2 linked regions of the Yarrowia lipolytica genome follow. The protein of the gene in region 1 interacts with the protein of each later gene in a biochemical or structural test. Links are inferred from orthologs where the notes say so. Each region holds a gene or a part of one and is shown on either strand. Other genes may lie near its edges.

What was found.
Region 2: the proteins of YALI1_E31351g (region 1) and YALI1_B16194g form a complex in vitro, tested with the Saccharomyces cerevisiae proteins (2 studies listed by BioGRID). The link is inferred for Yarrowia lipolytica from reciprocal best matches to the Saccharomyces cerevisiae genes ERB1 and YTM1.

The regions. Positions count from the first base shown.
Region 1 is NC_090774.1:3,132,075-3,137,169, reverse strand, and holds YALI1_E31351g (uncharacterized protein), read left to right. Parts: upstream 1-2,036; coding exon 2,037-4,499; downstream 4,500-5,095. Other genes in the region: YALI1_E31369g (uncharacterized protein), read right to left, coding at 37-142, 196-237.
Region 2 is NC_090771.1:1,617,287-1,621,192, reverse strand, and holds YALI1_B16194g (uncharacterized protein), read left to right. Parts: upstream 1-1,792; coding exon 1,793-3,328; downstream 3,329-3,906. Other genes in the region: YALI1_B16239g (uncharacterized protein), read left to right, coding at 1-1,021. UniProt on the Saccharomyces cerevisiae protein: Component of the NOP7 complex, which is required for maturation of the 25S and 5.8S ribosomal RNAs and formation of the 60S ribosome.

The sequences.
Region 1 (5,095 bases):
CTGTGTGACTTGTCTGTGAAGCGTATGTATACTCACCGATGGTGGTGCCGGCACTGTGGAGGACGTAGTGCAGACCTGATGCCTTGATGACTCGAACCACGTCGGTCACGTACTCAGAAACTGAGGCGTTGCCTGTTCCAATCTGTGTTAGTCATATTTCGGGGTACATTAATTGATAGTATCGGCGTAACTCACAGGAATGAGGCAAAGGTCGGCAAGGCAGTGGAGTGTGGGCATGATGTTGTGTAATGTGTTGGGGTAGAGTGCATGAGATATGAGTATGTGGTTTATCATGTATATGAGTGTTGAATTGAGTTTGCCTTCGAACTGGCTGAGTAATCTGAAATATATACAGGAGCCTGAAATGTCTCAATTGTGGTTGAACACAGTTTATACGGTGCCTGGTGGCAATCATAGCAACCCCGAGTGTGTCGCAATTGCTCTCAAAAAAATAAGCTCTTCCACGGAAGGGCAAAAAGATGGCGACATCCGCAGGATTCGAACCTACGCGGGGAAACCCCAAGAGATTTCTAATCTCTCGCCTTAACCGCTCGGCCAGGATGCCATTTCGAACATAATATTTATTTTCTTGGGACGCAAACAACAGAACTCAGATGACTAAGCCGAATCATTAGAAAAAAAAAAAAAACGGTGATGAATCATTAGAATACAACAAAACAAAACAATACCACGAGACCACGACAAAGACAAGAACGAGACGAAGCGTCGACAAACCAACTGACGTGCGCCTCTCAGCGCACACCGCAATGATTCAGAAGTGTATGATTTATTGAACGCCAATAACCCGGCTTACAGCTTATTCTAATTTTTTTTTCTTCTTCACTACAGCTATATACCTACAGTATGTACTTGTAGTAAGCCGGGTTATTGGCGTTAAATAAATCATAAATCGTTTCGGTGTGCGCTGCGAGGCAGGGTTTTTTTTATTCTAATGATTCACGTTTTTTTTTTTATTCTAATGATTCATTATGTCACGTGATATATCTTTCCCATCATATAGGTCCAACCAAATTTATTGAATAACGGTTGCGGCCATTATCCTGGTGGGAAAAAATACGGCCTTCCCGTCCGATCAGCCATAGTCCAAGCACCAGGAGAGCCTAGTTAGGTATTGTAGTGGGGAGACCCATACGAGAATCCTGGGTGCTGCAATCTTTTTTTTCCCCTGATGGGAACTTGCACTGGAGTTTTGTGTGTCAATAGTCTTCAAAGGGCAAACAGTACAAGTAGCTACTCTTACATTTCTTCAACCAAGAAAACAACCCAGTCACTTCTCACCAAAATCATCCGAGGTCATGACGACACCAAGATTGTGCAGCCCCTCAAAGCGTTTTTATTGTGCTGACAGAACCTCGCTTGTAGAGTTTGACGTACGGGTGAGGTGGTGATGAAGAAGTGGTGTGCAAGTGGGATCCATATCGAAGTTGAGGCGTAAGACAGGATGGCCTAGGAAATTGGTCAGTCAATATTATAATCGGATGAACAATTTGAGAACGCCGTAATCCTCATATAGCTTTCAGATCAAGTATACGTTGTTGGAAGTCTACTGTAGTTAAGCACAGTCTAGTGGTTTTGTTGTGGGGCATTGGGGCGTGTGATATGACCTATGCACGAGTGAAAAAATGGGATATTTTATATGGAGATCATATCACAAGAAGCCAAGCTTGTATTGTTTTTATACCACCTACCTACTCTCAATGTTTGGTTATGGATGACATATATATCTCCTTTGTAAGGTAAGTGAGGTTACAGAGTTGCATGGAATTTTATTGTGGAGATGTGACGTTTGTGGGACCCTTCAAAAGAGGGGTTGTTGGTGAGATGTGTAAAATCTGAGCAGATCATAAGAATGGTGTTGGCTCAGATATTAATGTGGAGTACAAACTTCACCGCGTAAACCAAGTATAGGTGATGTCCACTTCTCCTCCTCGTCATAACCTGACTTTAACTTTGGACATGCATAGTAGACAATTTTTTTTAAATTGGATTTGCAACTTTTCGCACAGCACACAAAAATGGTACGAAGTCGTTCCAACTCCGTTAAGAAGGATTTGAAGCGCAAAGTCGACGAGCCTGTCGACGTGCAAGACGAGTTCGATGTCGAGGGACTCATTGATGAGGGCGACTCCGACGACGAGGATGAAGCTGAGCAGGAAGTGGCACAAGAAAATGTGACAAAGGACAAGAAGAACACCAGCAAGACTGAAAACGAAGAAGATGCCGACGATGAAAGTGACTCTGACGCCGAGCTTGAGGCACTCATCGGTGAAGAGGAGGATCTGTCTGGAAGCGAGCTGGAAGACGAGCTGGCTTACTTTTCTGATGCTGGAGACGACGAGGTCGACCCCTCGATTCTAAAGCATTTGGATGACGGAGTTCGTCTGCGATCTCTGTCTCGATCTTCCGACCAGACTGATGAGCTCAAGGACGTGGTTGAAATTGTGCCTGGAGCCGACGGCAAGCCTCGAATGATCAAGAAGGAAATCCATGCTGTCTACGACTCGGACGATTCGGACCAGGAGGAATCCAATACCATTGGAAACGTGCCCCTGTCTGCCTACGACCAGATGCCTCACATTGGATATGACATCAACGGTAAGCGAATCATGCGACCCGCTACCGGTTCTGCTCTGGACAACCTACTGGAGACGATTGATTTGCCCGAGGGATGGACCGGCCTGCTAGACAAGAGCACCGGAAAGGGTCTCAACATTTCCAAGGAGGAACTGGAACTCATCAAGCGGATTCAGAAGAATGAGACCACCGATGACGCCTCCAATCCCTACGAGGACCTGGTGGAGTGGTTCTCTTCCAAGACAGAGATCATGCCTCTGTCTGCTGCGCCCGAGCCCAAGAGACGATTCATTCCCTCCAAGCACGAGGCCAAGCGAGTCATGAAGATGGTGCAGGCCATTAGACAGGGTAAACTGCTGACAAAGCCCAAGGAGGACCCTGACGCCCGACCCAACTACGACGTGTGGGCCGACAACCTCACGGACGTCCAGGACCACGTCATGACTCTGCGAGCCCCCAAAATGCCCCCTCCCACCCACGACGAGTCCTACAACCCCCCTGCCGAGTATCTGCCCACCGAAGAGGAGATTGCCGAGTGGAATGCTCTTGCTCCTTCCGAGAGAGAGCGAAACTACGTGCCCAAGAAGTACACTGCTCTGCGACATGTGCCCGGCTACTCCGAGTCTGTTCGAGAGCGTTTCGAGCGGTCTTTGGATCTCTACCTGGCTCCTCGAGTGCGAAAGAACAAGCTCAACATTGATCCCGACTCTCTGATTCCCGATCTCCCCTCCCCCAAGGATCTCATGCCTTTCCCCATCAGATGTGCTACCACCTACAAGGGCCACAAGGGCAAGGTTCGAGCCATCTCTGTGGATCCCAGTGGAGAGTTCCTTGCCACTGGAGGCGACGACGGAACTCTTCGAGTTTGGGAAGTGCTCACTGGTCGAGAGCTGTACCGATGTCGTCTGGTGGCGTCCATTGATGCTCAGGATGACTCAGTCGAGTGTGTGCAGTGGAACCCCGCTGTCCCTGGCATGCTGGCTGCCTCTGCTGGTGAGCATATTTTCCTGATTGTGCCTCCCACGCTGTTTGACTTTGATATCGAGAACACCGGCCGAGAGAAGATTGAGCAGGGATGGGGTTTTGCCGAGGGAGGACGAGAGCAGCAGGATATCGATACCAAGGGTCTGGATGACGATGCTGACTCCGACTCGGACGACGAGACCGGTCACGTCAAGAAGAAGAGCCCTCCTGCCAAGTGGATCACCCCCACCGCCAAGCAGCAGGCCTCTGGTATTGGAGCCATCATTACCGCCACCAAAACCATCAAGCGACTCGCATGGCACCGAAAGGGAGACTATCTGGTCACTGTGGCCCCCTCGGCGCAGCACAGAGCCGTGGCCATCCACCAGATCTCTAAGCATTCGTCACAGTCGCCTTTCAATAAGTCCAAGGGTATTGTGCAGGACGCCATGTTCCATCCCTTCCGACCTCATCTGTACGTTGCCACCCAGCGATACGTGCGTATTTACGATCTGGCCAAGCAGGTCATGGCCAAGAAGCTTATGCCCGGTGCTAGATGGGTGTCTTCTCTGGACATTCATCCCCGTGGTGATAACGTGATCCTGTCGTCGTTCGACAAACGGCTTCTGTGGCACGATCTCGACCTCAGTGATAAGCCCTACAAGACCCTGCGATACCACGAAAAGGCCGTGCGGCACGCAGCATTCCACAAGGGTGGTCTGCCGTTGTTCTGCTCCGCTTCTGACGACGGTAATATTAACATTTTCCACGGCACCGTCTACGACGACATGATGACCAACCCTCTGCTGGTGCCTCTCAAGGTGCTCAAGGGCCACGATGTCAAGAGCGGTCTGGGTATTCTGCGGGTTGAGTGGCATCCCCGGGAGGCTTGGTTGTTTTCAGCCGCTGCTGACGGAACTGCAAAGCTGTGGACCACGTAAGGAGTGGTTCACAAGTGCGCGAGGATGTGTTGGAATCTTCCAATGGTGCATAGCAACAATGCTAGGAGGTAGCAAAGTTGTCGTTTAATAAAGATATTGATAGAACTGACGCCAGTAAAAGGTGCGAAGCATGAACTGCTCGGGCTTGACGAGTATGAGTACTTGTAGTACAAATAAGAGAAGTACAAGGTGTAGTGGGTGAAGAGTGAGTAGTGTGAGGGATATGGGGAGTACGAGCTGTGGTACAATACCGTGAAGCTGTAACACGAGAGCATGGTAGAAAAGTTGAAGCACTAGTAGGTCAGATCAAGTAGCGACAATGCCACAAATGCCCGTTTCCGTTTAGGTGGGCCCGCCAACTGAGCAGATCCCATAATATCGTTTCAAAGAGGGCTAAACTTCGCCAATGGAAATAGATCTGCATTAATCCAGACATATTTGTATGAGTGCAAGTAGAGGAAATATATATATATAGTATATATATATATATATTATATTGCTCAAATAGGGTGTGAAAGTCTGGAAAGATTGACATAGCTGCCACTCACCCTTGTCATAGTATTGTTCTCAGTAAATGATGGGTGCTGCCATCATTT
Region 2 (3,906 bases), on another chromosome or scaffold:
GCGACTTGTGCGACACATTGAGGCCGAAGACCAGGCTGTGGAGGCCCGTGTGGCTGCCGGAATCGTCAGTAGCAATGTACCCGACGTGGTGTCTTCCAATGACTCGGATCACGTGAGATCTGACACTTCCACTGAGAACAAGTCCTTTTCACGGTACTTTGACCGTACTCTCAGCATGGCATCTTGGGACGATGTTCTGGCTTACATTTACAGACCCAAGCGAGCTACTGTGCCCAACAAGCGGTCTTCTGGAGCTCCTCCTTCAGTCAGATCCACAAGATCGCCTCTTTCGGACCATCCCATCACGTCTTCGGGAGACGAGTCCGACCGAACCATTTCTGCACATGCCCCTTCCGGCGGTGCCGGTCGAGGCCGGTCTCATTCGTCCATCTCGCGAATGTGGCGATACCTGAAGAACTCGTCTGCCGATGAGGCCACCCGGTCTCGATCTCGAGATGCAAACGGAGCCGGTGCTCCCCCTGCCTACGAAGAAATCTTCCCTGGCCATGGGGTTGTCCACGACAAGAAGGTTGTGCAGATGGCCGCTGCTTCTGCTGCCGAGAACTCGTCTGGGCCTGTTGGAGCCTCATCTTCAGCAGTTGCGTCCACTTCTGCGGCTGCCGCTGTGGTGCCCTCCCCACTAGCCCCCATTGTGGAGGACGAGGAGCAGCTGGTAGAGGCCTGGAGACGACAGCGACGATCCATGGCTAACGATCGCATGTTATTTGCCTTCTGGCTGCCTGTGCTGCTCATGGCTATTGGTTATATGGTCATCAAGGCGTTTGGTCTGTTCCCCGACCAGGTCTCTGCCGTTGAGTCTGTGGCTGAGACTGTGGGTGTCCACTGCCGTGGAGCAGTTGCCAAGCTATGGTTCAAGCAGTACCCTGTTCACCGAGGCCAGCCACTCAAGGACACCTGTTCATTTGAGCCCAACAGTCTGGTAGAGTCAGCTCTTCGTCAGATGAATGGGTGGTCCGACCGGGAGGTTCCCATTCATCAAGCCCAGGCCCAGGCTGCATGAACACGAACAAGCGGAAGAAGTCTGTGCAAACGCGAACGCCTGTATAATTGTATCATCTAATTAATTTATTGTATTATGATCATTTAAATGAGAAACTACTGTTTTTTAAAGTCCATCTTTGTATCTCACTGTCAAGGTCTCAGTTACAGTAAGTTTAGTGTCCACAGTACAGTGTCCCAGGCATCGGTCTCGGGATGGACCCTGGAACTGTAAAAGTGTCAGATGGGTTTGGTAGAGTGACGCTGAAGCGACGTCGGGGATCATACTGGCAGGGCTAAGGGATGCGATGAACGAACAATTTAATAAGATCGACTGTCCAATTATTATGATTAGGGTGATTTATAAGCCCTTCCATATATCCCTTCTACTGTGCTACCTACACTCTATCAACGTCTGATCAGTAATTATCAAGACGCAACTCATCTCTGCTTCAAAGTTTGCTATCTACGAATGCTTGTACTGTATGGAGTGTGTACTGTGTAAAATATTGAGTAGTGATTAAGAGCTCCAAACAGGGGTTGAGGCACACAAAGGGTTGGGTAGCGTCGACTTTGCCCCTCACACTAAGAACACAACAGCAACTACAACATTACAACACTTCCCCTCTCTCCTCTCTGGATCCAACCTCAGACCCTCCCAGGCCCATGTCTCCTCCCAACCACGGCTACAAATTTAAACTCGGCATACAGGAAAAAAAATAATGCAGCTGGCAAAACAAATCACCATACCGTTATTATCACCACACACAACCCATCACACAACTTTACCGAGATGACCAACCAAGAATCGCAGTCGGTCAAGGTGGTCTTCGTGACCCGGGACGAGACCCTGCAGCCCGAGGCTCCCCTGCCTCCCGTCATGGTCCCTACTTCCCTCAAGCGTCTGGGTCTGTCTGAAATCGTCAACCAGCTGCTGGACACTGAGACTCCTGTTCCTCTTGATTTCCTCATTGTGAAGGCTACTGCCGGCGATGGAGGAGCTTCGATTCTCGACGAGGAGTCTGCCTCTTCTTCCTCGGTGCTTCTACGACCAGGAGCCTCCCTGGAGTCTTTCCTTGCTGACAACGGTTTGTCTTCCGAAGTCAGTCTGTCGATCGAGTACATTCGATCTGTGCTGCCTCCATCATTTCTGGCCTCTTTCTCCAACCCCGACTGGGTCGCTGCTGTCGATATCAACGCCCGGTGGACTGGCGATCTGAAACCCGTCATCGCCTCGGGATCTTACGACGGAGTCGTGCGTCTGTGGGACCACTCGGGTCATGTGACCGGCCAGCTTGTGGGCCACAACTCCGCCGCCAAGGCTGTGCGATGGATCTCTAATGACCAGCTCGTTTCTGGAGGTTCCGACCGACTTTTGTACCTATGGAACCCCGACGGAAAGAAGTACCGACGAAAGGAACCTGGACAGGTGGGCAAGAAGGAGCTCAACTACGACAGTGAGGAGGACAGTGATGAGGAGATGCTCGATGAGCTTCCAGCCGCCTCTACCGTGACCCCTATGGCAGCTCTACATGGACATACCGCACCCATCAACGATCTTGCTGTTCACGCCAAGACCGGAAAGATCATCTCCGCCTCCGCAGACGGATCCGTGGGTCTGTGGTCTACCGACTACAATGACATGCCGGCAATTGAGCCCCATACCGCTGCCGCTGGCGGTCTGACTTCCACTTCTGCACAGAAGCGACGAAAGCTCGCCAACTCCGGCTCTGGAGCCACCGGTCTGGGAGCTGCTCGTCAGCGAGGTCCTCTGGCAGTCATGGGCGGCCACTCCGCCGCCGTTTCGGCCGTCGCATTCCATCATTCCGACCCCACAGTCGCCTACTCTGTGTCTCTGGATCACACCATCAAAACCTGGGATCTCGCCACCGCCGAGGCTGTCCAGAGCAACGCCGGATCCCCCGATCCTTCGGTCGATACCCGATCCACCTCCTTTTCGCTTCTTTCCCTTTGCACCCTGCCCCAGGGTCTCATTGCCTGCGGCTCTTCAGCCCGTCACATTACCCTGCACGACCCCCGAGTAACTGCACAGGTGGCAACTCAGGCCAAGCTGGTGGGCCACACCAACTTCGTGTCGTCGCTGTCGCGAGGACCCGAATCCAACCCCTTCCTGCTGGCTTCAGGATCTCACGATGGAACTGTCCGAATATGGGATGTTCGAACCACCAAGTCTCTGCACGTGATCCACCGAGAGACTCTGACAGAGAACAATGCCGTGTTTGGCGTGGACTGGAAACAAAACCTGGGTATTGTCTCTGGTGGCCAGGACAACAAGATCCAGATTAATAACAACCCCCAGAGCGCCTAAGGCACCCCAGGGGTTTTTGCATCATGTACGTATAGGTAATTGTAGATATAGAGGAGAGGGTGTGTCAGTAGGCTACTTGTAATATTGTGATAGAGTGGAACAGGTTGACTTCGTAAATGAGTTATCCTATGTGCTCGATCTATACTGTAACTACTGTAGCTACAAGAGTGCACGTCGCGTGGTACAACTCAAGTACAAGTACAAACAACGCTAGGTTAATAGTTCATTACCGGAAGTGACAGGCACAAGTTCGGGGCAACTAAAACAGGCACTCGGGTACAAGTACAATTACATTATATTGCTGTTGTTGTTATTGCCTTTGTTTCCTGTCTTTTTTTTTTCTTCCTTTTTTTTTGTTTTTTTCTTATCACTGCTGAATTGGTCCTCCATGGTGTGATACAAATACACCTGTACGTACAGTACTCGTACTTGTACGGGCAAATTCACCAACACATATCGACAAGAATCATGAAGATTTTTCTTCGTCAAACAAACCAAATCAGACATTCTTTTATTGATGGACCTCCTGATGACACCTTCCTTGCGGGGTTCCTTCACTTACTGTAAATCTGATTTAT